4 linked regions of the Struthio camelus genome follow. The protein of the gene in region 3 interacts with the protein of the main gene of each other region in a pairwise test. Links are inferred from orthologs where the notes say so. Each region holds a gene or a part of one and is shown on either strand. Other genes may lie near its edges. The genes, in order: ZMIZ2, POGZ, BANP and FAM117B.

Region 1 (8,576 bases), on a different chromosome or scaffold from region 3:
TTCCGCAAACCGGTCAGTGCCAGCGGGCCCGCTCTCAGCTAGGCCTGCCTCTGCCGTTCTGCTTCGCTTAGTCCAGGTCAAAGCCAAGGCAGGGAGGCCCTGGGTCTGCGCCGAGCCTGGGGACAGGATTTAGAGCGGGCCTGCTTTTGCACCTTGTCAGCAAACATGCGCAGAACAGTGAAACGGACCCAGGAGCAAAAAGCGGGGAACCCAGCAAATGATGGGTGCTGCTCTCTGGGCTGCAGGATTGCTCCCAGCAGAGAGGAACACGCTCCCGACTGATGTGGGTTTAAAAACACTCATGTCCTTGGGAAAACAGAGCAGCCTGTCTGCTCTTGTGACCCTGCATGTCATCCCATACCCCTAGGGCTAAGCGAGCAGTTAGCCCAGGTCTGGGCCAGCAAGGACCGAGGACCCCTTGTTGCGTGGGCTGCCTCGGTACGTGACATCCTGCTAGCTGGTTCTTGCAGGCTGGGGTCTCTGCGATCCTTAGGTAGATCAGAGACATCAGGGCTGGGAGGCATTGATAAATAATCCAGTCCAGCCACTTGTGTTCCACCTCCCAGCGATCCGGCCGCATCCACGCGGGGGAGGCAGGTCTCTGGCAGCGCTTCAGCCTCTTCCCCAGGGGAAACGCAGACCGGGAAAGCAGGAGGTGTTGGAGGCTGGCGCTGAATCTTGCAGCACAGCAGCCGAGCAAGGAGCAAACCTCTCAATGGCTGCTCCTGCGTTCAGAGGTTGGAGAGGGCAGGCAGGACAGGCAGGTCTATGCTCCGGTGTTCGTTTGCAGGGGAGGTGTTTCTGGCATGGCTGACTGGCTTGCTTTGCCTCTTCTCCTCCCCCTCCAGCTCATAATCTTCACTCCAAAGTCACTGCTGCGCCACCCTGAAGCTCGCTCCAGCTTCGATGACATGCTGCCAGGTACGAGAAGCCCGGAGGTGTTTGTTTCCCCGCGCTCGGCTCTGCAGGACGAAGGGTGAAGGGCAGGAGCTAGCTTGGTGTAAAGTCCGCCTGGCAGCAGCAGCAGCCTCCCCTCGCCGCTCTTGGCCGGGGTTTCGCGCTGAAGAGCGGATTTTGCACCAGAGCTGCTGAGCAAGGCTCGCTCTTCCAGAAGCTGGGGTCTGCCTTGCCACAGCGAACCTGTGCGTGCCGGAGCCCGTCTCTGGGCTGGTGCGTGCCGGCAAACCGCTTCCCTGGGGAGGTCCTGCTAAGGCAGCCCAGTGCTGAGGCTTGCGTCCCACGGAGGATTTGCATCCTCGCGAAGCTTCGCGCTGGTGCCTGGGCACGGCAGACAAGTAGCTCTGCGCTAGGATGGGGCCGAGCTCTCCCGTGTAGGAGGAGGCTCAGCTAGCGTGGCACGAAGGCTGCTTTCCTCCCTGCTCCAGGGACGTCTGCCTGCTCCTCTCTCTCTTCAGCAGAGGCAATATGTTCACCCGAACGAACGGAGGTCAGGGCGTGCCAGGCTGCAGCCGGCTACTGAGCAGATTGGAGCCACCCATTATTAGCGCTCTGTCTGGCACCCTGGGGCTGGTGGCTCTGCCTGTCACTTGCCAGGCCAGTACACGGCTCTTAGGGCAACCGCACACCAGCATTTCCAGCGTCTCCTGAGCCCCTAGGAGCACCGGGCTTCCTCTGCGGCGAGGAAGACAGGTGGCTCAGCTTCCCGGGCGCTTTGCCGCGTCGCTTCCTCTGTCGGCAGTCACTTCCTGCCAGAGCTGCGCGGACGGGGTTTGACAACCCCACGCCCTGCGTCCTCTCGAGGGCTTGTATTCGGCACCGAAGGCTGGGTGCTCCCAGCCTTTTTCTGGCCTTGCCCAGCTGAAGGTTGCGCCCTGTCCCTTCCGCTGTGGTTTGTCTGCGTAGACTCGTATCCTCCCCACGCTGCAGGGACGAGAGCAAGCTCCTCTCTGCTGGCCCGGTGCTCTCAGTGGGGCTTAGACAGGCTGCCCACGAGTTGCACTGTGGCTAAGTCCAGGTCCAGACTTGGTCACTAGGGATGGGGCAAAACCAGGGTGGTTTAGGGTCATCTTCTGCAGGCATGCTAATAGCATCTAACTGGCATGAGCAGGTATTTTGTCCCATCCTGAGAGGAGCAGGCCCTGCCGGGGCAAGGTGCCACCTTCCAGTGTGTGCTGGTGTCCCTGGAAGGCGGGCTGCACCTCTCCCAGCAGCGGCCAGAGCTGCTTTTCCAGCCCTCTGAGATAAGCAGCTGGCCGGGCTCCTCCCCACATTCCTGCCTGATGTTCTCCTTTCTTATTTCTGGTTGAGCCACCTTGTTTCACAGACTTCCCGGGGCCTCCCTTAATGAACTACACCCTGTTTGCCCTGGGAACGCTCATTGTCACTGCCTGCCAGCAGAAGAGCAGGCAGAAGGGTCACAACCCAACCCAGGTTTGTCATTCCTGGGAGTTAACTCTCTCTGCGGTGGTGTCAGCCGGCCCCAGGTATTGTGGTCCTGTCCCGGGGAACAGCCTGTCGCTCTGTGCAGCGGGCGGGGGTGCAGTTGGGGTCAGGGACAGGAATGCAACACAGGAACGGCACAAAGCACGTTGCGCCTCCCTGGGAGACGTCGCACACGGGTGAAGGCGGCTCCCGACGCACCACGGTGTCGATCTGAGGTCGGTGCCGCTGTTAACGGTGGCGTCTTGTCTCTTTGCAGGCACCAACTTCCTCCGTGTCATCCCCGATAGCGGCCCTGCGGCCCAGAGCCCCGAGAATGTCAAGCGGGTGCTGTTCTGCACCGGCAAGGTGTACTACGACCTGACCCGGGAGCGCAAGGCCCGGCAGATGGAGGCCGACGTGGCCATCACCAGGGTGGAGCAGGTGAGCGAGGCCCCCGGTACGGTGCACGGAATTGCCCTCTGCCGCCCTGAAGGCCGGCGTTGGCTCTCTCACCGAAAAGCAGGGTCCGAGGGGATCCAGCCCGTGCGCTGGGACAGCAGGGCCTGGGGACGTGCCGTCTCGCTGTCCTGCGGCTCCGCCTGTGCCAAGCACGTGGCTTGACGGGGCGCGGGAAGCGGGTCGTTTCCCCTCGGCTCTGTCCCGGTGACGGCTCTCCCCTCCCGCAGTTGTCTCCGTTCCCCTTCGACCTCCTCCAGAAGGAAGCGCAGAAGTACCCCAACGCCGAGCTGGTCTGGTGCCAGGAGGAGCACAAAAACCAGGGCTATTACGACTACGTGAAACCCCGTCTCCGCACCACCATCAACCGGGCCAAGCCCGTGTGGTAAGGAGCAGGGGCCGAGGCCCCGCTGCCGCGGCGGGTGCCGGCTGGGCCCCGCTTTGGCCGAGGCGCCTACGCCGCAGCCCTCCCTCGGCGTCTCAAGGCGCCAAGGCCTCGCGACGTGTCCCTGACCCCACTTCCCTTCGCCGCCGCAGGTACGCGGGGCGAGAGCCCGCCGCTGCCCCCGCCACCGGCAACAAGAAGACCCACTTGACCGAGCTGCAGCGGCTCCTCGACACAGCCTTCAACCTGGACGCCTTCAAGGACCTGGCCTAAGCCGCCGCGCGGCCGCTGCAGCATGCTCTCGGCTCTCTGTCTGTCTGTCTCTCGCTCGCCTCCTGTCTCCGTCCTTAACTACAGACCTTGTAAACTAAACGCCGGCGCCTGGAGTCCTTGTCCATCCCGCCGGCGCCTTGCCTTGCGCTGGGCCCCGTCGGCAGCGAGCTTGGCGTGGTTCGCCTCTCCCGCGGGCTCCGCCGCAGCCCCACGGCGGCCCCGCCGGAGGCAGAGGGGTTACGGGCTGCATCCCCGCGCGTCGGGGGGGCTGCGACCCTCGGCTCCCTTCCCCGGGAGCGCCGGGCTTTGTTCGACTTCGCCCTGGGGAGAGGAACCCAGCGCTGGGCCCCGTTTGTCCCAGTCGGGCCGGTGCTGCGCTGCCCGTGCTGGTCTCTGGGCTGACTTAAAAACAGAGAAACTCCCCGGCTCGGAGGAGGAGGGAGCCGGGCGGTGGCCTCTGCTCTCCTGCCACCCCCTGCCAGCTCGGGGCGCGCGGAGCACCTCGCTTCTGGGCCGAGCGCGCCTGTCCCGGGCGGGCGCCCGGCCCCTCGGGGTGCCGCCGTGGGGTCCCTGCCGGAAGGGCCGAGCGGCGGCTCCCCCCGGGCTGAGTCACGTCCTGGCCGGGCCCTCCCTGCCGGCTTCCTTCCTGCGGCGCGGCCGCGACCCCCGGCGCGCCAGGGTGGGGTGTGCACGTGTGACACGCGTGTGCGCGCACAGGCGCGCACGCACAACCTGTCCCGCACCTGCCAACGGCCAGGCGCGCCAGCACGCCCTCGCGCGCTGTCACGCTGGCAACGCAACCTCTCGCCTGCACAACCACCCCCTGGTCTTACACACGCGCTTCGCAGTCAAGCACGCAACACCTCTCGGTCACGCTGTCACATACACGCGCTGGCTGTGCGCACACAACTTACATGCACAGGCATACAGTCTGTTACACTGGCGCATGGTCACATACACCCCACAAGCCCTGTCAGTCACACGTGTACACATGCAACCCCTCACACTGTCACACAACCCCTTGCAGGTAGTGTCAGGCGCACACACAACCCCTCGCGCATGCTGTCCCATAGTTACGTACACAACCCCAGGCGCGCACAGTCCCTCACAGTCACACACACAGTCAGATTGTCACAGCCCCGCAGGCAGGCACACTGTCTCACCCCCCCCCGCTGTCACACGCAGTCACAACCCCATAGCCACACACACACACACACACAACCCCACCCAGCCTCGCCCACAGCGTCGCGCACCGCCCCACAGGCAGTCGCGCGCCGCCGTTCGCCTCACGGCCGCGCGCGCAGCACCCCTCACGCAGTCACGCGCGCGCAACCCGTCGGGTGCGCGCGCACACGCGCCCCCCGCGCGCCCGCCCGCCGCCGCGGTCATCACACACACACACAGACCCGCGCAGGCGCACTCGCAGCCCCTCACCCCCCCCCCCCCGCACGCACAACCTCCCCCCCCCAACCCCGTCACGCGCGCGTCACCCGCCCCGCGCGCGCCGCTCGCGCGCTCGGCGCTCGGCTGCCCGCGCCTGCCGCCGCTGCCGCCGCCGCCGCCGCCGCTGCGCGGGGGGGGGAGGGTGGGCGGGGGGGGCCGCGGCCCGCCCCTGCATACTGATGAGCTCGCGGCTCCATTGTGCGCGGCGCGCGGCGGCGCGGGCACGGCGCGGGCTCGGCTCGGCTCGGCTCGGCCCGGCTCGGCTCGGCTCGACCCGGCTCGGCTCGGCCCGGCCCAGCCCGGCCGGCTGCGCTCGCCCCGCCGCCGCCGCCGCCGCCGCCGCACCACCACCACCATGGAGCCGGGGCCGCGCGCGGGCTGAAAATCCCGCGCAGCTTCCGCGCAGCCGCGCGGGCACGGCGCCGCCAGGGCCATTTTGGGCCGCTCGCGACGGTGAGTGCGGGCAGCGCCGGGGGCCGCGGCCGGCAGCGCCCCGCGCCCCCTCCCCTCCCCTCCCCCCCGCCCCGCTCCTCGCGGCGGCGGGAGGGCGGTTGCCATGGCGACGCGGCGGGGGGCGGCCGGGGCCGGGGCCGGGGCCGGGGCGGGGGCGGCGCGGCCGGGGCTTTCCGCGGCTGCGGGCGCCTCGCCGGCCTCGGGGCTCCCGCCGCGGCGGGGGGGTGGGGGGGGCCGTCGCGGGGTGTCGCCGGGCCTTGGGGACCCCGGCGCGGGGGTGTCACCGGGATCTGGGCCGGGGCTCCTGTCACGGGGCGGCCCACGGCCCTCGGGCACCCGGGGCTGCTGCGACCGCGGTGCCGCTGCGCCCCTCGGGGAGCCGGGGCGGGGGGCTCCTGTCACGGCGGTGCCACCATGGCCGAGGCCCTCGGGGAGCCGGGGCGGGGGGCTCCTGTCACGGCGGTGCCACCATGGCCGAGGCCCTCGGGGAGCCGGGGCGGGGGGCTCCTGTCACGGCGGTGCCACCATGGCCGAGGCCCTCGGGGAGCCGGGGCGGGGGGCTCCTGTCACGGCGGTGCCACTGTGCCCACGACCCTCGGGAACTGGGGATGAGGGGGGCTCCTGTCACGGCGGTGCCACTGTGCCCACGACCCTCGGGGACATGCGATGGGGGGGCTCCTGTCACCGCGGTGCCACCGTGCCCACAGCCCTTGGGGACCCGGGACAGGGGGGCTCCTGTCACCGCGGTGGCACTGTGCCCACGGCCCTTGGGGACATGTGATGGGGGGGCTCCTGTCACAGCGGTGCCACCGTGCCCATGGCCCTCAGGGATCTGGGTCGGGGGGCTCCTGTCACGGCGGTGCCACCGTGCCCATGGCCCTCAGGGATCTGGGTCGGGGGGCTCCTGTCACGGCGGTGCCACCGTGCCCACGAGCCTCGGGGACATGCGATGGGGGGGCTCCTGTCACAGCGGTGCCACCGTGCCCACGACCCTCGGGGACATGCGATGGGGGCCTCCTGTCATGGTGATGCCACCATGCCCACGGCCCTTGGGGACACGGGATGGGGGGGACTCCTGTCCCAGTGGTGCTACTGTGCCCACAGCCCTTGGGGACCTGGGTCAGGGGGCTCTTGTCATCACGGTGCCACCATGACCACGACCCTCGGGTCGTGGGGGCTCCTGTCACCGCGGTGGCACTGTGCCCACGGCCCTTGGGGACATGCGATGGGGGGGCTCCTGTCACAGCGGTGCCACCGTGCCCATGGCCCTTCGGGACCCAGGACGGGGGCTCCTGTCACGGCAGTGCCACCATGCCCATGGCCCTCAGGGATCTGGGTCAGGGGGCTCCTGTCACCACGGTGCCACCGTCCCCACAACCCTCGGGGACCCAGGATGGGGGGCTCCTGTCACGGTGGTGCCACCAATCCCACAGCCCTTGGGGACCCGGGATGGGGGGCTCCTGTCACGGCGGTGCCACCGTGCCCACGGCCGTTGGGGACATGGGACGGGGGGCTCCTGTCACCGTGGTGTCACCAAACCCACAGCCCTTGGGGACACGGGACGGGGGCCTCCTGTCACGGCAGTGCCACCATGGCCCTTGGGGACACAGGACAGGGGGCTCCTGTCACGGCAGTGGCACTGTGCCCACGACCCTCGGGGAGCCAGGATGGGGGAGCTCCTGTCACAGCAGGGTCACCGTGCCCATGGCCCTCGGGGACCTGGGGCAAGGGGCCTCCTGTCACAGCAGTGCCACTGTGCCTGTGTCTCTTGGGGACCTGGGACGGGGGGGGGGACTCCTGTCCCATTGGTGTCACTGTGCCCACAACCCTCGGGGACCTGGAACCGGTTTTGGGACAGGACCGATGCCCCTGTCCCTTCCCTGGGTGGCTCGTGCCACCACAGCACCTCACCCAGCGCACGGCCTCCCCCTTGGGTCACCCACGGGGCATCCCGTGGCCTCGTCCCCCTCCCTGTGCCACGGCCAGGCGCCCGCTGAGCCCCGAGTGGCACCACGGCCAAGCCCCCTCCGTGCTGTGACTGTCACCAGCCCGAAGCGGCCACTGGACCTGGCACCCTCTGGGGTGGGTCCGTGGCACCCTGCGGGTGCAGCACCCAGGGGTGCTCAGCACCAGCGCGGGTTGGACACTGGGGAAATGGGGACAGGCCCTGGGCGCCTCCACCCTGGACTTGCATAACGCTCGGTCCGTGGCCGGGGCTGCGAGGGCACCCGAGGCCAGGGCGGCGGGTGCCGCAGCACCCGTGGGAACCCCAGCCGGCATGGGGGACCCGGGCTTCGGCGGCGAGGCCGGTGCCCCGGGGATCTCCCACCCTCGTCAGGGCAGCGAACGGGAGATGGCGCTGGGTGCTGGGGTGGGCCCGGCCCGTGGCTCCGTCCTCGTGGTGGCTGCGGCCGCGACGTCACGGCGCGGGGTCCAGAGGGAACTGAAAGCGCCCGGGCTAGTGCGGTGCCACCGCGCCAGGCTGGAAATACCCCGGGGCAAGCGCCGTGGGCAGGGGGACGAAGCCTGGTGGCCGTGGGGGCCGCGTCTCGCCCTCGGCTGCGTCCCTGCCGCTGGCGTCTCGCCCGAGCTGGCGCGGAAAGTCCCTCTGCGGTTTCCTCCGGCCGCGTGGGCGCCGGGGAAATGCCACGGCGCCGGCACGCGTGGCGCCCGGCGCGGGATTTTCGGAGGGACGGTGCGGGGCGACGGGCGCGCGGGGCAGAGCAGCCCCGTGGCGCCTGCTGCACCGCGAGGGTTTGGAGCGGGGGCGTTTCGGGGGGCCACGTGCCCCGTGGGGCTGGCGGAAATGGGCGGGCGCGTGGCGGGGCCGTCCCCGTGCCAGGGCCAGGCAGGACGCCAAGTCCTCGCGCGGGGACGCCGCGGTGTCGGCGGCGGGGGGGGGCCGCCCGGATGCCTGGGTTCACGCTGTGCCACGGGGAAGGGCACCGCCGGGAGCTGGGGGGCAGAGACACCACGCGTGGCTCCCTCCCCCCCACCGCCGCCGTCCCTTTCCCCCCCACCCATGCCCCCTGCTAACGCCCCGCCGCGTCCCGCAGCCCCGGTGACACCGTCCCGCCGGCGCTGCGCCCGCCGCGGCCACAGAAGGCCCAGCCTGCGCCCGCCGCGCCTGCCCGCCGCCGATGAGCTCCATGAACCCCATGAAACCGTCCCTGCCGCCCACGCC
Region 2 (7,457 bases), on a different chromosome or scaffold from region 3:
CACACAAACAAGCTTAAGGAGATGTTTCATTGTACTCTTTAAGACAGAAATTAATACATAAATCATCTTCTCTTGTCCAAATTCTCCTTCAGAACGTCAACTTCTCTCTATTATGTCTTACTTTTATGAATGTGCAAGCTCAACTGAACTGCTGTCTTGTTTCTTATTTTTTCACTTAGTTTTGATTATATGCACTTAAAGGCAAGGCAGGTATCTTAACTTTTTAAGAACTAAAAAGCCTAATGAGGTTTTGTTAAATGTGAATGCAAATTAATCCTATGATGAAGGCTTCTGCTGTCAAGACATGCTGCAGTCCCTTCTTTGAAAAAAGGATAATGCTCTTCCGTGGCTGTAATGACTAACTGGTACAGTTTAAAACTGATAAAAATCTAACTGATGAAAATACATATTGGATGATGATTTCATTATTGTTTATATGGCTATTCATCATCAGCAACATCTCTGATAGAAGAGGGTAGGTAAAAAGAACTATGCAAGTTGAATGCCAGAATTGAACAGTTATATCCTTCAGGCGACGGTAAATTTATTTTTGTTGACTGATGTGGTTGACTTGACTTTGCTGGCTACTGAAATTATTTTAAAAGGCTTATTAAACTTTCTATGAATACTATCATCTTAAGTCTTATATGTCTTATTAAAGGCTTTGAAGTGTGCAATGCCTACTAATTAAAATGTATTATTATTACACACCCAATTATCATGATTATTATCTACCTTCATGTTTGAATTGCAGAACAATAAAAATGTACTGCTTTCCGATATTTGCCTCTGCAGACTGGCTTAACACTTTGGCACCTTTTGTGACCCTAGGACTACCCATAAGCTGCAAGCCTGTGCTTCTAGAGTCCAAGAGCATGCCTATAGCTATGTTTGTGCAACTGGCTCTTTTGTGAGTAGACACTATACAGCACTCTACTAATTTCAATCTGGACACAGGCTCTACTTGCATGAAGACAGTTGTACCTTCTGTGACAGTATCTAAGCAGCTGTGGGGATCACGCATACTAACAATGTAACCATATATAACCATAAACACAAGACCAACCACAAGTAACACTTGCAGAACCCTACCCGCAGCTAGAGCTTAAAGTAGCAAGGCAGAGGAAGTTCTTTGGGTGGGAAGATCCACTGGACAATTTTACCTATGTTAATAATCCACTGGACAATTTTACGTATGTTAATAATTCTACAATAGAAAAAAAGATGCGCATACAGTAAGCTAGACCTTACATTCAAAGATAAAATTTAACATCTGACAACCTCAAACTACTATACTGTATACACTGAGATCTAGGAAAGAGAGGATGCAATTTGTATATCCTTGCAAAGTATTTCCTAAAAGAAGCAACAGATTCCCCTTCCTCTACCCCCCACTTCCAATCACTCACTTGTGCCCCATTTGGCATGTCTTGGTGACAGCTGCAACTGCTGCCAAGTTAATAAAAATAAAGCTGTGTGTGTTGTCATGTGTTGCATGTTTTCTGCAAGGGTTTTGGGCAGCAGAATTCATGCCTCTCCCACATCTCCACACGTTTTATGTCACAGCATAGACAAGGGGAAGAAGAAAGGATGGCCTAATAGCAGCAGTCTAGGTTTCCCACATACTAGGGAGAGCAGTAGCATGGTAAGGACCAGGTAAAAGGAAGCAAATGCATTGAGCAGTAGCATGGTAAGGACCAGGTAAAAGGAAGCAAATGCATTGATGATACCAAACATCTAATTTTTAATACCTGTAGCCTGAGGAATCAGCTATGGGGTGTTTCCATACAGTCTTTCAGTGGACCAAATCTTTTGAGAAATGCAGGAGCCCACTAAACTGACTCCCCGACCCGGCACACCAAACTGTGTTACTATAGCCTAGCAAGAGGCCAGGCAAGCAGGTAGATCAAGGCATGCTGCTGACCAGGGAAAAAGTGCTGGCCAAGGGCAGCAAGGAATCCAAGATTTCAAGTACAGCAAGCAAGTACAGTACAAGGACCTGCAGCCTAACGCCAAACAAAAACAAAAAACAAACCTCCCCCTCTTTACATACTTAGAAGCTGATGTGCTTGGGAAGAGCCTTTTCCACTGGACACTGGGGACAAGGTGAAGAAGTAACTAACAGTCTAAAGAAGGCATGCTTGTGGGAAGGGGGGGAGGGGTCCAACACTGATGTGGTGGCACCTGTCTTGTCCTGAGGACAGGAAAGATGACACTGAAGGCACAGGTGAGCAACAAGTCAAGCAGTTCCTGTTCCTGAGCGGTCAGCTCCTGCGGAGAGGGTTATTAGGCAGGCAAACCCAGATCCCCTCAGCCAGGAAGGTAATGGAGCGGTGGAGAACAGGCAGGCCAAAAAGGGGTTCTCTCACCCTCCAGAGTAGACAGAGACTATCCTCACTGCTAACTTCCCTTAAGAAAGGCAGAAAGGACATTTATCCACAGGAAGAAAGCAAAACCCGTCCTCAGTTTATTGTGGCTGCTAAGAAAGAGAGAGAAAAATAATCCCTGTGCCCAACATGGCCGCCCACCCAGCACCAGCCGCGGGAAAGGTGGGGGGGGAGGTAAGATAGGGAGGATGCAGCCGTCCCCTCCCCCGGCGGGGGGGGGAGTGGGGGCCCTGTGTGAGCCGGGAAAAGGCACCGCTCGGCGCCGAGGTGTTTTGTTTGCGCGGTGGGGGGGGGGGGGGGAGCGCGAAGGGGAGGGGGGGAAGCGGAGGGAGCCACCAAGGCCGCTTCACCGCCTCCCCCCCTCCAGGAGGGTGCGGGGAGGGGTGCGCGGATCACTCCGCCTCCCCCAGCCCGGGCGGGCGAGCGGCGGCATTCCGCCGCCCAGCGGGAGCCGCGGCGGCTCCTCCCCCTCCTCCGCCTCGGCAGCCCCGAGCCCTCCCTCCCGCCGCCGCGGCGCTCGCGCTCCCTCCTCCCCGCCGCCAGCGTCTCGCGGCCGCTTTGTGTACGGCGCGCTGGCCCCGCCGCCGCCGCCCCCCCAGCAGCTCCCCCCTCCCCCAGACCCGGGCGGTTCGAACCGGTTCCAACGGTCACCGACCGCCACCCGCGCGGCCCCCTGCCCTCCTCCCGCCGCCCTCCCGCCCCCACATAACGGACTGGCGCCAACTCACCTTCCTCGCTCGCTCCCTCTTTCTGCCGCCGCCGCCTCCTCCGCCGAGGCTGCTCGCACACGCTCTTAAAGTGACACACACACGCCCCCCCGCACGGCGCCGCTTTCAGGGCGAAGCGAGAGGCAGGGGAGGGCAGGTGGCATGAGCTCCCCAACCCCCCCTCCCCGCGGGAACCTCTATTGTGATGATGCTGAGGAGGATTATTAATTTCTCTCTTCTATATATATTTTTTTTTTCGCGAAGGGGGCGACTCCCCGCTTTTCTCCCCCCCCCGCTCTGTCAGAAGGAAAAAAAAAGAGCCCTGCGGGCTGATACACACAAGAAGGCACCCACAGACACACACACACACACACATACACACACATACACACACACACAAAAAAAGGGGACCTGGCCGGCGGAGGGATACGGTGACGTCATTTCCTCCTGGGCCCCGGGGCGGCGGGCGGATTGGCGCGCGGCGGGATGACGTCACCGGGAGGCCGGCGCACCCTAGCCTGCCCCTGGCCAAGTTTGCGTGAGGCGCAAAGGCGGCGGGGCGGGCTCGGCTCCCCCTCCCCTCCCTCCCCTCCCTCCCCTCCCTCCCCGCCCCGCCCCGCCCCGCCCCGCCGGCGGCCGCCGCTGCCCCTGCGCCCCCGCGCCCCCGCCCCCGGGGAGCCGCCGCCGCCGCCGCCGCCGCCGCCGCGCGGGGCGCCTCGGGGCCCGGGCTTCCCCCGCGCCGAGGCCTTGCCCCGAGGCCCGCGTGGCGCGCCCTGCCCCGCCGGCGACGCCTGGCCTCCGTGCTGCCGGGCGGGCGCCCGCGGCGGGGCTGCCTGCGGCGGCCCCCAGGCCTGGCCGGCGCCCCCGGCGCCCGACCGCCTCCCGGGGCCGCCGCCGGAGCCTGGGGAGCTCAGCTGCGTGTAGGCAGGCTCCGGGGCAGGTGCCCTCGCGGGCCCTCAGGCCCTCGCGCCTTCCTTGGCTGCGCTCAGCCCCGCTGCGGTTGCTGGCCTTCAGCTAGCCCGATGGTGACGGCTCGCCGTAGGCGCAGCGACAACCAGGTGGTTCATGTTATGATTAGGACTGAAAGTTACAATGCAGAGTTTTATTTTGGTGGTTTTGGTGTGGCCAAGAGTCAAGCCAGCCTAGTAGCTGTCTTGGGAAAGATGGGAAGAGCTGCTGATGTGGTTACAGGGCTGAAACCCATCGGCCGCAAAGGGTAACTGGTTCAGTGGCTGGTGGCGTTGCTGGGATTCAGCTCCGTAGCATGGCTAGTAATGCCTCTCAGGTGGCTGGGTCTCAAAACAACCACCTCCAGAAGATAACTCTCAGTGGTTAGAGATGTCCAGGGCCCACAAAATTTGAGGCCTTTTTGATAGAAAGTAGAGATAAATAGTTGCATAGCCCTTCAAAAAAACTCAGTCACATCAAAAGTTGGCAGTGATTTCATCCCTCAGTGACAGCCTCAAGGAGGAGACAAAGGATTAAATTGTCATAAACTTCTACAGCTTCTGTAGAGATTGCAAGGAAGTCAGAACTGAGGCGCGTAGATATAGCAGTACAGACCAACCTTAGGAGCTGTCCACAGAGATAAAAAGGCTTTGCTTAAGTGGATACTTAAACCCGTACCTAACTTTAAGTATATAAACAATCCAAATATAATCAAAGCAACTATGTAAATGCTTAAAATTATGCATTTGCTTAAGTACCTTGCTGGATCAGTGCCATGTAAGTGTCCTGGGCTGTCAAGCCAACAGATAAAATCAGTGACTGTGTTTCTCCCTAACATAAATTTAAATGGTTTATATCCTTAGTAATAAACATATTATTGTGAATAATTTAGTAATGCTAGGACATACAGCTTTTAACTGCGTTCAGTACAGGCAGAATATTGAAGAGAATATGGTGAGGATAATTGAAGAGAATTGAGAATAATGTGTGGTTAGTATTAATAGTTAACGTATTTAACAAAAATACGTGTATAGATTTTAGAATTCTTTTAACCTGTTTTCAACATCCTTGAAATGTTAGCTTATTCATTCTTGAAAAAACTATTTAGGAATTTGGTAGGTAGTATATTTCCCAAATGGACCCCCTTGCTGTGATATCCATGTGTTGCTAGAATGTGATTTATTATTCTGCAGTTCATTAAGCAAGCACATTAATTTTCTTCTGTTGCTCTTCATGAGTTACCAGTCATTCTTCCTAGTTTGTACAGTACACCAGGCAACTTCACGTCATACTGAAGGGGGGAAGCATTTTCATTTAACTGTGTGTCATCTCTAAATCATATATATATATATATATATATATATATATGTATGTATATGTATATATATATGCAACATGAAGGGCCACATTCTCTTCTGTGGTTATGCCACTGATAATAATAACAAATACTATTATCAGTAGTTATACATTTGTATTCCTGACTGCACTTTGGAGCCTCTGCCTTGGATGAAGTATTATTTAATTATTTCATATAGTACTAGCAACTTTCACTGGCTTTTTCCAAAAATGTCATCTGGAGACAGAAGCTATGCATAAAAAGTAATTTTTCATTGAATAAAAAGGAAAACAGCCACTAATACTGGCATTGCTAGTGATGGAAAAAGTTAGTTTGTAATCGGAATTCCGATGTCAATAGCAACTAGGATTTACTGATGAAGTTTTACAGTACTGACTGATGAATAATGTTTGTGTTCACCAATGAAAATATCACTTACTGATCCCAAATTTGATTTCTTCCATGTAAATGCAATATTTCTTATACCTAAAGTGAAAAAAAGAATTGACCATGGTGATTTTGTCTTTATCCAGTGTGTGTACTGCAGATACCAAATTCAAATGAAATTAATGACAGAATGTAGCTGTTTTAAATCATGTCAGAACTGATGAGTTTTTTTGTTTTTCATTCACAAGTGGAACAGAAGGAAAGTTCTCTATTTGGGGGAGTACAATAAAATGAGATTTTTTCATTTGCTGTTGAAATGCATAAATTCACTAGGACAGTTAGACAGGAGTCTGATATTCTTGCTCCAAAAAGAAAGTTCCTTTTTATTTAGGAAAAAATTATTAGTTACATATATTTTACAGTATATAGGTGAACATTTGCATTTCATCCAATAAATAGCAACTGTACCTGCACCCTGGACATTTTACTAGATTTGCTGCACTACAGGTGCTTACATTGATGATCTGCAGCTAAAAAGAAAAAAATCTTGAAGTGCAAAGAAAGTAAATATCTGTGGGAAAAAAAAAACTATTTTCCTTACTACTCATTCACAAGAAAAACCGACTGTGTTTAGGTCAGCATCCATGAACCAATCTAAGTATGATGGTAAAGCAGGTCCAGATATGCATCCCAACATAATCCTTACACGTTTTCCTAATGTAATTTAAATTTTAGTAAAAAGTTTGATTGACACAGGAAAACTCAGTTGATAAATTACATATCTCAAAGAGAGTAAATTAGAATATTTTGTTTTGCTTCTGCAGGTTGCCAGTGTTTTGGACGTTTGCTGTGTAAGGCTTTTGCCAGGGGTCTAAGATTATAACCACCTGCAGCCTCCTTGGTGTCAAAGCAAAAAGTCAAAAGGTTTCACAATATGGTATTAGAATAGCTGAGAAACTCTTTGCAAGGATGTACTTTAGCTCTGAAAGTGGAACGAGATGTAGACATTTTCCAATTCTTAACTATATTCAGAAAAATTTAGTGCGGGGCTGGCCAGAAGAACAAATAAAGATATCAAGGGAGCATAAATTTCCACTCGAATATGTTTGAAAGAAACAAATGTTGAGAATGCAACTTACAATATGAAAACAAAATTTTATATATAATATATATTTAATATATAGTGTGTGTGTATGTACATGTTTTATATATATATGAGACTTCTTTTTTTCTTGTGGCAGATAGGTTGAGCCACATATGTGAAGGCAGACAGATGCTTATGCAGTGAGTCATGCTGGTGGCCCAAAACACTCGAGCTTACTACTTAATTGTCAAATTGTCAAATTTTCTCTGATTTTTTCAATTCATTTGTCTGCACTTCAAGTGTAGGACGTTTCATTGTTTCCTTTTGGTTACAGAACTGTCTTTCCATTTCACTTATACCACTGTATTCAAACTTAAATTTAAGGTTTAATTATTATTCCTTAGATCTGAAAGTTTAAAGCATCCACATGTTTTAACTTACATATAAAGTTTTGAACTTTTCTTTTTTCTCAAAAAAAAATTGAAATAAATGTCTCTAGATCTTCCTAAAATGCTTTTACCAATCTCCCCTGGAAACATCCATGAAGCAGAAATCAAGTGTGGTGTTTTATTTCAAAAGACTGGATGTGGGGAATCCTCCATTAAATA
Region 3 (7,708 bases):
TGGCCACGCTCTTGCTAACGTAGCCCAGTACGCGGTTAACCTTCATCACTGCAGAGGTGCGTCGCTGATGCGTGTTCCGCTTGTCCAGCAGGATCTGTAGGGCTTTGCTCCAGAGCTTTTCTCCCTAGGCAGTCAGGCTCTAGGTTGTACTGATGCATGGAGTTATACCACCAGCCCAAGTGCAGGACTTTGCATTTGTCTGTGTTACACTTCATGAGGTTCCAGCTGACCTAGCTCGTCCGAACTGCTCTGAATGGCAGCCCTACCTTCCAGCCTATCAGCAAATCTGGTGTTATATGCAAATGTGCAGAGGAGACAGTTTGTCATTCTGGTCACTGATGAATATTTGTATTTAGTTAATTTTACCTCTCACACCTGAATTAATTGGGTTATACTGCAAATAATTTTGAACATGTGTCTAGATGAATGCAGGTCCAGGATTAAGAGATGGCCAAATTCTGCTTAGAATGATAGCATTAATGGTATGTTGATGCTATATAACATTTTGTGTCTAGATTTCTAAAAAGAAAAAAAAAAACTATATGAATGTGAGGACTACACACGGAATGAAAAGGCAGTTCTCAGGCAATCCAGTTTAAAGAAAAGGATAAAATCCATTATCATCACTAACTGTGATGAACTCCACTTCAGGTTTTTCATAATCTCAGTGAATTAAAAAGGACTGAAAATGAGAACGGTACCTCACCAACTAAATATGGGCTATGGCAAGCCTCAGCTTAGCTGGGCAAACTAAAAAATACTGGGCAAAGATACCAGCTGTGTATCAGAGGGAAAAGGCCAGCGGAAGCAGTGGTGAGTGCGGTCCTCGGAAGATCACAGCAGGGCAAAGTGCAAATGCAGAACTTGTTGGAATGGCAGATTTCTGAGAAGGGGAATAGCCTCCTATCGTTTCCCCCCACTCCGAGGTATTCAGGGAAGTGGAACAGTATGTAAATAAATAAGAGAACATTGAGGTCATACCTGACCCTTCTCACCTTCTTTCTCAGTCTATCAAAAATTACCTTACAAGACCCTGAATTTTGACCAGCTGGGTAGGCCAAATATGTAACAATGTTTTTCTTTCTGCTGAGGGAATTCAAGGCCCCCTTCTATCCTCATTCATGCAAATCAGGAGTATCTTCACTGAAATAAATGGGGTTTACTCGGCGTAAAACAGAATTGAGATCTATGGGAAAGAAAATTATTCCTACAGAGTTCCTATGGCGAATACTCTGGAGTTACTCCTATGCCCTGATCACATCTGTTTTCTTCATGCCTTTGTTTCTATATTCACATGCTCAGCAGTGAATATAATCATGAATGCCTGTCACTTGTTTAAACAAATGCTTTGTTTGGCAAGCTTTGTTTTCCTGCTGCTGCTGCAGCTGCAAATTTGTGTGCACAGTGTGTTAATTTTTTACCTTTGATGCTATGGTAAGTTTTTTATCTAACAACAAAAATGAGGAAAGCAATGAATGAGATACCAATCTCTTGTGATCCATACAAAACATGTGAAAGCAGCAACTCCCTTGGGAAACAATAGTAAATGAATGCGGATACAAAGGTAAAATAAGATAGATATTTCCTGGGACCAAATGATTCTTCATAACACAACAGAGAAAAGTTAGCACATATTTAAAACGCGAGAGAGAAATACTAAAAAATGAGGATGAAAAAGGAGAAAAAGTAAAACAAATAAAATATTTTGCTATCCAGTTTGGGACGACAAACCAACAGGGCAACAGCATGTATTTTCTTTTATAAAATTAAAAAATAAAATTGATATATTAGCACCCTGAAGTACTATTCATTTTTCTAAGGAGGAAAAGAACAAGAATGGATTCGACCCCAACCACATCGGTGCTTGGAAAAGTTACCATGGGTTAAGCCACAATATACCTTAGCGTGTATCAGCTTCTCCTTGGTGCTTGCTCACGTGCAGTCTCTTAGACCATGGTAAAGTGAAGAGCTCATTCGCTAACGGGGGACCCACAATGAATTTCCTGACATTTATTGCACAAATATTCAGGTAAGCACATTCCTGAAAGCTCGTAGAGCTTAGGGGTTTTTGCAGAGCAAAGGAAACACTTGATTATGTGTCAGTACCCTAAATTAAAGACTAGGAGGCAAATTTGGCCCTTGTGATTTAAGCATAGAGGAGGTCTCCATTGTTAGGCTGTGAACGGAGGAAGATCCCCTTTATTCTACCATTTACCAGTATTTCCCATCAGACTTTCTGCTATGTGAAAAGTATGTCATACTTGGCTGTGTGACTCTCAAGGGGAACAAGGGACAAGCTGTGATAGCGGAGTCAGGAGGTAATGTCTTCATGATTATTGGTGTAATTCAAAATTTTAAAAGGGAATTCCCCCAGCCTTGTAAGAAATGATAGAAAAATATCTAAAATAATATATCTGGAAAACTCTTAAATAAGTGAATGGTATATTCCAGACTACTGCAATTCTCAGAATAGACTGAGTTACCAGCAGGAGGTAATGCTTTACCCTCTCTTAGTGTTAAACTGCTGCGTTGCTTTTTATGTTGCCATCTCTCATCAATGATGTAGAGATTAGCTGGGTCTTGCCAGTATGTCCTGGAGTTACTATGACCACTGAAGGTCCATATTACAACTGGTTCATGACGGTTTTCTGTTTTGTGTTGTTTTACCTGAGAAGTGATTTGCTGGCTGTACCGAGAGGATTGGAAGCTCACAGCCTCAGCAGGACATGAACTAATAATCTCTGGGAGGGAATTTCCTGATGAGAAAGCAGGGCAGCTTCTGCACTGGATTAGGATTATGATGGCAAAGGCTTTTACCAGCAACTTTCCACAGCAGATAGTGCACTGACGTTTATATCATTGTTTTCCTAGCTGGGATCTGGCAACTGCTTGAGTGCAAGCAGAAACCGTTTGCCAAATGTGTTACAGGGCAAATCTGTGCAGCAAGGCGTGAATAACCCTGTGCAAAAAGTCATTTTATAAGTAGTTTAACCTATGAACTTGCTAATCTGCTTGTGAAGGAAGAGAACACCGTAAATTAATCCATGGGTTCAGCTGAACAGTTGCAAATCTGGAAGCAGAAGCAAGGGTTTTCCTAAAGGGCCAGTTGTGAATTCCCAGGCTCGTGACAACTTTTGAATATTAAAAGCACCAGTTTGAGAAGTCACTACTAGCAGTTTCCAAAAAAGGCACTGTGCGTGTGCCACCGTCAACGTATGTTTCCTTGCACGAAACAGAAGACCCCTTCAGTACTGCTCTTTGACCCTCTCCATAACTTCCAGACAGATCAGCAGGAAGAACTGCTGGTTCCCTGGGGTCTGAAACGCTCTAGACACTGGAGCTGCTGTGACACGTGCAGTTTACTTTCATGCACTGACACCTCGGGTTTGAACGTGACAGAGTTACAGCACCTGAGAACCGCGTTTCAAACCACGAGCCCGCCAGCTGCGGCATCAACACCCAGCTGTTTAGCTGTAGGTCTGTAGGTGTCGGGATTGGCAGTTACTTCCGAACCGGAATGGATTTAATCACATACCATGACAGCGCAGGGCTGAATCACGCTTCGCGTTTGCGGAACGTTTTTTATGCAGAAGTCTGAAAATCACCATTGGCTGGGCTGAGGCTGAAAAATGAAGTCCGATGACGCTCCCGCTTGGGCCACAGTGCGGTATATGAGGATACAGTACTATAATCTTAAGTGTTTGTGTTCTTTCAGGCAAACACTCCTTTTCAGCTTCTCTCAGAACTACCTTCAATCTTCCTCCATGCTCTCTTTTCATGCTTTTGCATATTTTTGTCGTTCCCAGAAGGTTTCCAGAAGGTTTTCCACCTTCTCCCAGTCATTCTGTTCTCATACCAAATGCAGGAATGAAAAGCAACAGAAAAAGCAGTCTGGTAAGCTAATTTAGCCAATTCCCCCCCCCCCCCCCTTGCTGCCTGTTCTTCAGCTGTGTACTGAGCGTGGTGACATCTCTCTTCTTAATATGACAGCTCCCATTCAGATCATCTCATTTCAGGGATGCAAGCGCTCAAGGTCCCTTAGCGGAGGGAGAAATTTAATAAAAGGACTTGAGAAAGGAGTAGGAAAAAGCAACGCGCCAGCCAGAGCAAGGAGTTGTTGAGTCTGCCCTCAGGCTTGCCTCCCACAGTTGTGTCAGGGCCGGGTTGGCGCCTCAGGAGGGTGAAACAGGGCGAATGAGGGAGAAAGAGGGAGGTAGGTGTTGAGGGGTTTGGGGGCATTGAGTGTGTGCGTGTGTGGGGGGGAGTTTGTATGTGGCGCATCCGTGTGGTGCGGACTACAACTCCCAGCGTGCACAGCCTCCGGCGCGTGTACTACAGGTCCCGGCCTGCTCGGCGGGGGCGGGGGCGAAGGGCCGGCGCGCTGCCCTCCGGGAGTTGTAGTCTGGGCCGGCAGCGCGGCGGTGAAGGGCGGCTGCCCGGCCGCTTCTCCCTTGCGCGTGCGCGGGCGCTCGGGGCGGGCGGGGGCCGAGCGGGAGCAGCGCGGCGGCGCCTGCGCGCTGCGGAGAGGGAGATCTCTCGCGAGGAAGGACGCCATTATCGCAGCCGCTCGACAAACACCACGAGAATTCGGCACCGCACACGGTAACCGCGGCGCCCCGCCGCCGGACGGCTGGGGCTGAGCTCCCGGGGGGCCTCACGCCGGGCTTACGGCGCCGGCCCTCGCAGCCTCCCCTCTCCTCACAGCGCCGGCCGAGCTCCCGCCGCCGTAAGGCGGCGGCTGCGGGGAGGGGCCGAGGCGGCGGCGGGGGAGGGGGGGGGCCGCGGGCCTCCGCCCCCCCCCTCCGCCGGGCGGGGCGCGGGGTGGGGGGGGGCGGCCGGGCTCTCGCCTCCTCCCGCCGCGGGACGCCGCCGCCGCCCGGCCCTCCTCGGGGGCTGCTCCTCGTCGCCTCGCCCCCCCGCCCGCCTTCTCGGGCCTGGGGAGAGAAGGGGAGCCCCCCCCCCCCCCCGCCAGGCTGGGGCGCCTCAGTCCTGGCGCCCCTCGCTGCCCAGCGCCGCGAGTGGGGGGGGGGGGAGGGGGGCTCGGCTGCTCCCCGGCAGCGCCGCCGGGCACCGTGCCCTCTCCCCCCGTCTGCCCGAGGCTTGTGTTTCCTCCTTTCTGAAGGACGGGGCAGGTCTGAGCCGCTTTCCCTCTCTGGGGGTGGCGCACACGCGGCGCTGCGGACAGGGGTTTTTGGGTGTCGCCGCGCGCCCTCCTCCCCCCGTCGTGATAGACGGTGAATAAGCGGTGACAGCGGCGCTGCCTCTGCCCCTTCGTCGTGCCGAGGGGTCTGCGGCTGTGCTCGCGCCTGCTGGGGGGGGAGAGGCGCAGTTCTCTCTGCGTGGTCATCGGGTCATAGCAGGGGCTTTTCACATCCGTATCTGGGGTGATGTTTTCCAGTGTTCTCACGGTAGCGACCTGTCTGACAACGCACTCCCAGTTATCTCTCTCTCTCTCTCTTCCCTTTTGTTCTTATTTCTAATTCGAATAGTGCATTTTTTAATTTTTCTTTTTTTTTTTCCTTTTTTTTAAAATCCTAGTTGAGTGGGAAGTTGTGCACTTAACCAAATATAGTAGCTTTATTCTGCTGTGGGTCATGCAGTTTATGTACCAATTTATTTTTAGTGCTCTCAAGGGAAGAATTTTTTTTTTTTTTAAGGAAACAAGCTTGGAGGGATATTATCAACCAAGTGATGATGCCAGTTGAAGTAACTTTCAGATTGTTGTAAAATGATAGTTTGGAGGGATTTTTGCTACTTTTTTGTTTTTTAATTCACTTATATGTGAGTTTACCTTAAATGTAGTACCCTATTGGTGTCAGTCTTTCAAGCAGCAAACATAAAACTTGTCTGTAGAATCTCAAATACTCAGGCAAGATCTGAAAAAAAACCCTTATCTTAAGCGTTAGTTCATTAGTAGTGTCTCTTGAAACAATGGATTTATTCTGTTAGAAGGTATTTATATATGCCAAATGAATATCCCAAGAAATCTTAACAGAATAACAAATTGATTTGGAAACTGTATGAGCCCTACTGTGTACACTAAATGATATCTTGGCTTTAGTTCACTTTTCAATAAGACATGAAAAGATGGTAAGAAGAAAGACTAATTTATTAAGAAGGGTAAAAGATTGAATTTGGACTTTAGAAGCATTAACATTCTCTCTGATTCAGAGGATGAGAATATTTTGTAACTTTTCTTTGTTTTGTAATTCATCATCTGACTTATTAGAACTGTAACTCGCTTTAATGTCTTAATTATCTAGCTGTGTTAAAGTTGTGTGGTTACAGGGCAGATCTTAAAATTTAAGACTTTTAAAGGAGTAATTGAGTAACAATGTCAGAAGTGCAGCAGTAGTACAGCGAGCAGTAACAGTATACAATTCTCAACAGTCAGGATTCCACCAGCACGTGTTTTGCTAAAGAAGTTTTACAAAGGTTTGTTTCTTGCATGTGGCGCTGTTCTTGGCGCAACGCAAGGTATATGTTTTATACTGTCAGGTGAAGAAAGCTGAGCTACGCCTAGCTCCTTGTAACCAGAAGTGATACTTAGAGGTTTACCTTGATTCTGCAAAGAGCAGTGCTCTGGCGTGGGGCTCAGACCCACATGAATTACATTAATATACTCACGTTTGCAAGGATTTTAGATTGTCTCTGCTCTTCGTCTTGAACTTTTTCCTGAACTTCTTAAGTTGATTCGCAGCTTATGCAGGAAGAATACACATCTCTGTTTTTTCACAATTTGCATGTCTGCATATCTTTCACTGAAGAATGACTTGAATTGAAATTCCTGTGATGCTCTTTCTAAAGTAATTGAAGGCTCATTCGTTTTAAGAGGAAGATGGGCATTTGTCTTTGTGTACAGAAGCTCTGGTCCCAGAGATCTACAGAATTTGTTTATGTGAATTGAACAGAACAGCAAAAGAGCTACTTGTAGTAGGAGACGATGCAAATCGAATGATTAGAATTAGAAGAACAAAATGTCTATGTATACTGAACTTCTCCAATAAAATTCTTTTCATGGATTTGATTTCCTTTAGTTTGGAACATGGTATTTAGCTGTTAACTATTGAAGTAATTTAATTTGTTTTCTGTTTTTTTTTTTTCTTTTTACGTTTTCATTGAAAAGCTAAACGTATTCTTTTTTTTAAGTAAAAATAAAAGAATAAAATGTCTTTCGAAGTCATGTCAAATATTTGTTTCATTGCAGTTTTAGGATTTTAAAGCTCCTATATGGTAGGCTTAACTGAGCACTTAATATTAGACTGCATGTTAAGGCATTAAGCGAAAGTGCACAAAAAAGGTTAACTTCTTAAAATCCTTTGCATATAGAAACTTTAAATAAAGTAATTTTCAGAGATGTCACCTGTTGGGCAAAATTCTTTTATCTTGGTTCATATTTCTAAAACCCTAACTTAGACCACTTAAGGGAAAAATACAGTAAGTTCAGTTTTTCCTCTGGAAATTGGAGCATCGTTATCTTGTGATGAAAAAAGAATGCATCTCTTCTATCCATTATGGGAATTGGTAGAAACTATAAAGAAAAACAGCCCCTCTCTTTCCCTTCTCTGCATACACACACAGACATCTGTGGTATTTGCTTATCTGTCTCTAGCTTCCTATCAATATGTATACTCTTTAAGTTTAAAGCTAGAATTACCTTATTTTTTTCCTGGAGGAGAGGAGTGGTAAAACAGGACCAGACTGTAAT
Region 4 (7,627 bases), on a different chromosome or scaffold from region 3:
AAAGTTCAGAAGTGGACATGATTTTGTCTAACCTCAAGGTTCATTTTATTTAAAAAAAAAAAAAAAAAGGCATGCAGCTGTAGGCATGAATGAAAGCTATTATCAACTGAAAACAAAAAGCAGCAAAACCATACTTATTTTGCAGTAGATTCTGAACGTTACCATGAAGTGGCTTACCCCCACATGGCTTCACAATTCTAACCACATAAGCAAAAATAAAGTTCCACTTCCACGTTCTCAGCTACCATTAAGTTTTCTCATCTATATGAAATAGAAATTAATCAACTCAATCTCTAAAAAACATTGGACTACATAGTATATATGTTAAACTGGCTTGATCTGCATTTTAATTCTGGGTCAGTACAAGTCCTGTTGAGAAATTTAAATGCATGGCAGCAGTTAAAAGGACACTATTCTTCTCTTTCCCATCTTGCAAAAAGCTAGTGGGGTTATCTGTTAACACAGCAGTGAAAAACAACTAGTTATCAAATTACTTTTTTCTTTATATATACTAATTCTTAGGTCCAGTAAAGAAGTCAGCTAGACAGTGTGGTTTTAACAGGTCTCTACGTGATGAGCCGAAGATAGTGTAATTTTTTCCCCCTTATAAGTGGTCTGACATGAACCTTCACAGCTTTTGAACCTGGATCTCAGGGTAGCCCATCCTGTTCCTCAATCTCCAGGCTAGCTAGGAGACTACCTTTTGGGGGAGAATTTCTACAAAGTTCTAGGAACAAAGATGAGTTTTGTGATGTGTATAAAGTCTTTCAGATTACTAATTAACAAGAATCTCAGATGAAGAATATACACATTCCTCAATCTAAAGCCTCAGAACATGACCTTAAGCAAAACACATCACCCTTATCTGGAAAGCTGAAGATCTAAATCAGAACCTGAATGCCTTTGTGGCCTTCTCTCTTACATTTCAGCGAAACGGACATATGGTAATCTCAAAGAGGTATGTCTGAATAAAAAAAAAAAAAGAAAAAAGAAAAAAGAAAAATTAAGCCACACAGGCATTACCTTAAGTACTGTACCAGTTTGTTATGACTCTCTAATTTGGTAGCATCATTTCTCGAGAGTTAGGCTAGATAAAAACTATATTCTGGCTGCAATCACAATTTTAGAAGGAGGGGGAGAGGCAACAATTAGGATTAGTGGAAAAGTTAATGGGAATTGCGCTGGTCCTGGATTTCTGAATATACACCTCTGCCTATTATTCAACTTTGTCTAAGTACCCAGTGCAATTTCATGACAAAATACCAGCTGGAGCTTTGTTATCTTTAAAGTCACTGATTTTCCAGATTTGAGGACAATAACACAAGCCCTCATTCATGCGCTTTTGAGTAAACTTTTATCTTAAGACCAAGGATTTACATATGTAAGCCTAGCATCCTCAACCAGATGCCGCACATTGCTTACGTTTCAGTGTCCCTCAGTGAGTATGTTTTCATTATTCAAAAGCAGTAAAAAGCAGTTTGCTACAAAACATATACCATTCTCGCACTATTTTCTATCTTTGCTGTAGCGCAAGCCTGTCATCACTCTCAAGTTCACACATCCTTCTGCAGGGTTTATGCTGCAAGTAACTACTAAGAGAGAGGCACTGAAGACTTTTTTTCCTACGTACATGTGTAATGCCTACAGTGCTAGTTAGTTTTTTCAATTACAGGCTTGTGGACGTTACTTGGATCAAAAACACATACCATCTGGCATCAGAGGCACAGAAAGGGAAGATGTGAAGGCTACCCTACAGTTTCCAAACACCAAATTCATCTTAACGTTGGAGTGAAGTATTTGAAGTTCATCTCTTCTCTTCTTACACCCTTTATCCTCTCATCTGGCAACCTTTAGCAGTACTCGCGAAAACACCGCGGGACTGGCTGCACTCCTCCTCACATGACACGCTTTACTTCTTTTTCTGTCCCTTTTCCCGAGAGCCAGGAAGGGAAAGAACAGTAATACAACCAGTGAGCCCTTGGACACGTAAACACCCGACAAGCGCTGCAGCCAGGATCTAAAACCGGTACAAGCCTGGGCACAACTCCTGTCCCAACCTTCCTCTCTTCCTCCAGAAATACCGCGTGCTCTTAGCCACACCACCAACCCCCACAGGCCAACGGCTGCCACCGCCAACCCCCAGCCCTCCCGCCCCCACGAAGACCAGGCTGCAATCACAAACCCACGCACGGCCACGCCGAGCTCTCCCCCGCCGCCGCCGGGACGGGGACGGCGCCCGCCCCGCGCCCCTCCCCCGGCTCCCCTCAGGTATCCCCCGCGCGCCCCCTCAGGCTCCTCGCGCCGTTAACGGTCGCGCCGCGCGGCCCCCAACGTTCCCCCCGCCCGTAACGGTCGCGCCGCCGGTAACGGCCGCTCGGCAGCAGGTGCGCGGGGGGAAGGCGGGAGGGGGGGTGGGCAGACACGCTGACGGCAGCGCTCACCTTTACAGACGGGCGAGCTGGGGCTCTTCCTCTCCGGGGAGCTCCTGCCTTGCTCCGGCGAGCGTCGCCGATGCCGGACCCTGCCCGCGGCTGTAGCGCTACCCTCCGGCAGCGGAGGCCCCGGGGAAGAGCAAGGTGAGGGCCCGCAGCCCGGTGGCGGTGGAGGCGGCGACGGCGGCGGGGGGGGAGGTGGCGGCAGTTGGTGGGGCCGCGGGGGGCTCCCCCGCGCCCCGCCCGCGCGCGTGGGGCTGCCCCGCGAGGAGGCGGCGGCGGCGCTGCCCCCTCCACCCCCCGGCGTCTGCGTGGCCACGGCGGGGCCGGTGCGCACGCCGTTGCCGCCGCCGGCGGGCGCCGCGCGCGTGGGGCTGATGCTGCGCGAGGCGGGCGCCGCGCGTGGGTGACCCCCGCCCGGGGCGCTGGCGCCGCCGCCGCCCCCGCCGCTCCTCGTGGGGCTGCCATGTTGCTGCAGCTGCTGCTGCTGCTGCTGCTTGAGCTGGAAGGGCACCGTGGCCCGCATGGGCTGCAGGCGGCCGCTCGCTCCTGCTCCGCCGCCGCCCGCCGCCGCGGGCCCCCCTCCCCCCAAGGAGATAGCCGGGGTCGGGGAGCCGTTGCGCCTCACGCGCTGATGGGACATTGTCCGCCGGGACGCGGAGGACCGTCGGTGGCGAGGAAGGAAGGGAAAGGCGTGAGGTGCAGGCAGGTCCTCGCGGGGATCCAGGCGCCTCACGCGATCCCTTCCCCTCCTCCTCCTCCTCGCCGGCGGCGCTGCTCCCGCCGCCGCTGTGCCCAGCCCGGGGCGACCCGCGCTGCCTCCGGCCGCTCCGTGCGCCTCATCAACAATAGTGCCCCGGCCGCCCGCCCCGCCCCCCGCGCCCGCCCATTGGGCACGCCGCGGCTCCGCTCGCGCAGCTACGGCGCGCCCATTGGCTGCCGAGCGCGCTCCTGAGTGGCCGAGCCTGCGCGGCGACGGGGGACCGGGGTGGCGGGGGGGCAGCTCTTAAAGGAGCACGAGGCCGCCGGGCGGGGGCCGCCCCTCGGCCAGCCACACGTGCCGGGCGCGGGCCCCGCGGCGGGGCGGCCGGACCCACCCCCCCCCCGCCCGGTCTCGTGCTCGCGCGGCAGCTCCTGCCCCGGGAGCGCCCCGGCCGAGGCTGTGGGTGATGCCCGCTCCCCCCACGGGGCTAAGGAGAACCATCCACGATCGTCGTCTCTAAAGGCAAAGCAGACATAGGAAGTAACGGGGGGGGGGGTTGTTCTGCGAGAGCTCGCATCTTCGCATAGCGCTGCACAGCAGGGCCTGGTGAGTTGTCCAAGGTCACGCGGGAAGTCTGTAACCCGGCAGGGAAAGGCATTTACGGCTTACCCGTATCCCAAGAGCCTGTCCCAAGGAAGCAGTTGTACGTGAGAAGTAGGGCTGCTCAATTATTTTTAGCTCTAAATGCAATAGAAGAGAGGACGAGGGCTCAGGAGCAATTTATCCAATCGCTTTGCTGCCAGCTTAGCATTACTAATGATGGCCCCAGATATGTGGGTAATATCCAGGCAGATTTGACCCCCTTTTCCTTTAATTGCTGTGTTTACTGTTCTCCATTAGATTCTTTGCTCACACATCTTCGCTGCAATCTTTTAAAAGTACTTGTTAACTGCAATCAGCCTTTTAACCTGATTTATACATTAGAGAATTGAATAAATACATTTAATAGGGCATAGTTTATGAATTTGCGTTAGTTAGATGCAAGGTAAATGCCATTTAGCACTTTTAACACAAGAAGGAATCAGTAAATTCTCTCTCTCCCCTTTTGGCAAATGCCAGTTCTGTGCTACTGAAGAGGACTTTCTTTACCCAAGTTCTTTTCAGTATTGGCCTGCAAACTGCATGTTGCAATTGAATACCACTGGTGTGATACAAATGATGTGACAGCAAGTTACATATTGTTCTTGCTTGTCTTCGGCTTGTTTTTGTCTTTTTCCCCTTTTCTCCCTTGCTGTTTCTGATTGAAGCTTCCCTTACTGAAAAAGCCCTCTCTTCCCCTTTGACGAGCTTCATCCTCACAGCTGACAGTTTTAACAGTCCTGAAGGGCAAGATTATATGCACAACAGGATGCCTGGACACAGGGCTACCTAAGGCCTTGAAGATTAAAGCTCTTGTCAGACTCAAAAGCTTTTCTTAATGAGAAATCAGACTGGCCACAGGGGACAGTATCGATGTGTTTCTGCTGACCAAGTAATTTAGCTCTTGCATTCTGCACTGACTGAATTTCTTTTGAAGGACACTGGTCCTTCAAGAACGTGCTCACAGGTACTGTTAATCGTAGTAATCTGGCCTGCAGGACAGAGACATGGATCAACATCACAGTTGGCTACAAGGCTGTGCCTTTACCTGGGGAATTGTCCTGGACTACCCTTGAAAATGGCTATGTCAGGGAAAGGCACCAGAAGCCTGGCTGATCACCATCAGTCCTGTTTTACTCCTTCTTAAACTATGCACCTTACGTAAAAAATCACTCTATAAATCACACACGTAGGGTCACTTCACAGCTTTGTTCTTGTAGCCGTCACAAGTACTGCAGGTGGAATGTGGCAACGCATCATAATCATGGATAAAGCGCTTAATTAGTGAAACATCAGGGAAACAGTGCTGTCCTCACCAGGAATGGCTAAGAGACAGAGAAAAGTATGGGCTACGTGTTGTTGGCATTGGAGGTAAAGGGATCACATAATTCCCTCAGTGACTCTATGTATGTATTGCAAAGAGAATCTGCGCCTCATAATGCTCCACAGTTAAATGCCCTGGAGGTAGCAAAAGAGCACCTTGGCATGTTCTGGAGAAATAAATGGAAGCTATTTGCTGCTTTTTTGGCAGCCCAGGACAATGCTTGGTCCCACTAATGATCAGTGGTGTCCTCCTATGTTACAGGCTGATCAAGGAGTATGAACATGATTATCCTCGCTCCTCCAGGCCTGAAAGGTTGTTGCCACTGCAAGAAGTCTGGAGAGTGCAAAAGGACCTATGCAACATTTCTTTCACTTCTTTTGTTGCAATTTTCAATCTGGGCCAAAAGGTGAAATCCCCTTTACAGTTCCTTCTGGTGTGACCTAAGGAGTAGCACTTGCTGCCAGTGCCAGTACAGTTGCTCAGCAGGTTTTTATTGTGTAGATAGTTTATCCTCTCCAGAAATACTGGATTTGTTTGGAAGCAGTGTCCAGTAAAGATATTTTTAAGGCATAAAAAGATCTCAACAACTTCTAATTCCTTTTGAAGAGGCCAGAAGATAAAAGGTATTGATTCATATTTATGTACATGATGAACTTTTGCCAAGTCACAACTTTGAGTGCACAAGATATGTACAACAATTATAGTACTTCCTACATTACTGTCACAGTGCAAAAATGGCACTGCTCCACACAGTTGTTTTGAATATAAAGTAAAGCCTTTAGGAATGCTGCTCACAAGCACTTAAATATTGCTCTACATGCATTAGGCCTGAGTGAAAGTGCAGCGTGTTAAGTCATGTACTCAGACCTAATCAAACAGTGTGTACTTCATGCGTTAATTTGTATAAACTGTAACAAATGTGTTACAACAGGATCTTACTCCTACACCCTATGGAAATAATAGAAACAACTAAAGCAGCATTATGAATTACTTCAAAATAGTTTGAAAGATTTGTTTAAGTTAAACAAAAAACAAAGCAACAAACCCAGCCCACAGTAACTTGGATACAGAACCTCCTCCCCCCACCAGACCTTCCCTGTGGTTACATCTGCCAAGATTTGTGTTCTGTTTCAGCCATCGCTCCCTTACTGCACGTGAACATTAACAAATGGTGTCCGGGCCAACTGTGGACAATACATTTCGTACAGTTTCATGTGGACCCTTTAAACTGTGGCTTCTTCACGGCAGTGACTGTCTTGTTCTGCCCATAACACCTAATGTAGGGATGCCAACAATGATCCAAAAAAATAGTAATGAAAATTATCATCTTCCCCAAGGCTTTGAGCCTTCTACCGGTATCAGTGGAATGAACCTTTTAGATGATCAAATCCACTGGAGTCACTCGTGATCCCACATACATGGGATCCATCTCTGGCTTCAGCTTCTCTCTACCTCATTTTTTTCATCAACCCATTGGTTTACACGATCTCAGCAAATATGAGTATGCTCACACACCAAACTCAAGTGCCACCTCCTGAGAGGTAATGAACACTCTTACCTCCCACCAACTTGGAGGCAATCGGCACCTAACCAGAAACGTTTAATAATGTCTAGTTAGTAGCCATTGTTGGGAGATTAAATTTAGGTATTGCAGGCATCCTGTTAGATGCATTTTTTTTATAAGCATAGCATCCGATACAAGCTGAAGATACAAACAAATCCATCCAGATGTTAGAAGCGTGTCAAAAGTGTCCTCAAAGGCAGATAGATAAAAAACACAGAGCTGCATAAACAGATTTGAAACCTTCTGAAAATAGGAACATAAACAAGTCAAGGAAGTGGTCAAAACAGTAACCCTGAAGGAAAAACAGAGAAACAAAGGTCAAAGGGGTTTAACTAAGTTCGTAAGCCCAAATCCCAGTGTACTGATTATCAAAACAAGTAATACTTCAGGAAGTTCTCTCAGACTAAGGACTGAAAGTTTATGAGTAGAACTTCCCACAGAGTAATATGCATGAAAAATACGTTGTGTTTAAAATAATAGTAATGAGCAAACCTTATGAAAAAATGACAGTGCTCAAGGCAACTTCAACTATGTTCTTGGCTTATTGCATAAATAAATACATGCAGAGCAGTGCCTATAAAGCAGCACTCTGCTGTCTGAAATTGTTTACCTGTAGTTGTTGTAAGTAATATTGAAGGTTGAAAGATTAAAATTCTGTGAGTCCAAACAGTAGATTATGCCCCAGGTATTTGACTGCACTTCCTGTCTCTCCCCTGCAGACTGAGTTAGTTTTACTTGTTTATGTGGGTGTTAACACAAGCAGATGAAAAAGACATTTAAAAAAAAATAGGACGAATGTAATAGAATTTGCTTCATTCAAAAGCTGTAATAGCGTCAGCCTAGCTAATTTTTCAGAATTTCGGGGGGGGATTTGGGGAGGCCAGCAGATTAAAATAAGGTATTGAAGTTGAAACAGTGCAAATAACAAATGGGGCCTTGGACATAAATCAAGCTATATACAATAA

What was found.
Region 1: the proteins of BANP (region 3) and ZMIZ2 interact in binary tests that used the Homo sapiens proteins (3 or more experiments, as listed by UniProt). The two-hybrid records come from large-scale screens. The link is inferred for Struthio camelus from reciprocal best matches to the Homo sapiens genes BANP and ZMIZ2.
Region 2: the proteins of BANP (region 3) and POGZ interact in binary tests that used the Homo sapiens proteins (3 or more experiments, as listed by UniProt). The two-hybrid records come from large-scale screens. The link is inferred for Struthio camelus from reciprocal best matches to the Homo sapiens genes BANP and POGZ.
Region 4: the proteins of BANP (region 3) and FAM117B interact in binary tests that used the Homo sapiens proteins (3 or more experiments, as listed by UniProt). The two-hybrid records come from large-scale screens. The link is inferred for Struthio camelus from reciprocal best matches to the Homo sapiens genes BANP and FAM117B.

What each region holds. Positions count from the first base shown.
Region 1 is NC_090968.1:1,512,276-1,520,851, forward strand, and holds the start of ZMIZ2 (zinc finger MIZ domain-containing protein 2), read left to right. Parts: upstream 1-5,284; 5' UTR 5,285-5,392; intron 5,393-8,448; 5' UTR 8,449-8,532; coding exon 8,533-8,576. Other genes in the region: OGDH (2-oxoglutarate dehydrogenase complex component E1), read left to right, coding at 1-12, 849-921, 2,660-2,823, 3,069-3,223, 3,376-3,496. UniProt on the Homo sapiens protein: Increases ligand-dependent transcriptional activity of AR and other nuclear hormone receptors.
Region 2 is NC_090971.1:209,797-217,253, reverse strand, and holds the start of POGZ (pogo transposable element with ZNF domain), read right to left. Parts: upstream 3,523-7,457; 5' UTR 3,116-3,522; intron 1-3,115. UniProt on the Homo sapiens protein: Plays a role in mitotic cell cycle progression and is involved in kinetochore assembly and mitotic sister chromatid cohesion.
Region 3 is NC_090951.1:3,024,942-3,032,649, reverse strand, and holds the start of BANP (protein BANP), read left to right. Parts: upstream 1-4,479; 5' UTR 4,480-4,602; intron 4,603-7,708. UniProt on the Homo sapiens protein: Controls V(D)J recombination during T-cell development by repressing T-cell receptor (TCR) beta enhancer function. Binds to scaffold/matrix attachment region beta (S/MARbeta), an ATC-rich DNA sequence located upstream of the TCR beta enhancer.
Region 4 is NC_090947.1:9,794,235-9,801,861, forward strand, and holds the start of FAM117B (protein FAM117B), read right to left. Parts: upstream 3,289-7,627; 5' UTR 3,076-3,288; coding exon 2,442-3,075; intron 2,269-2,441; exon of another isoform or gene 2,176-2,268; intron 1,896-2,175; exon of another isoform or gene 1,777-1,895; coding exon of another isoform or gene 1,707-1,776; intron 1-1,706.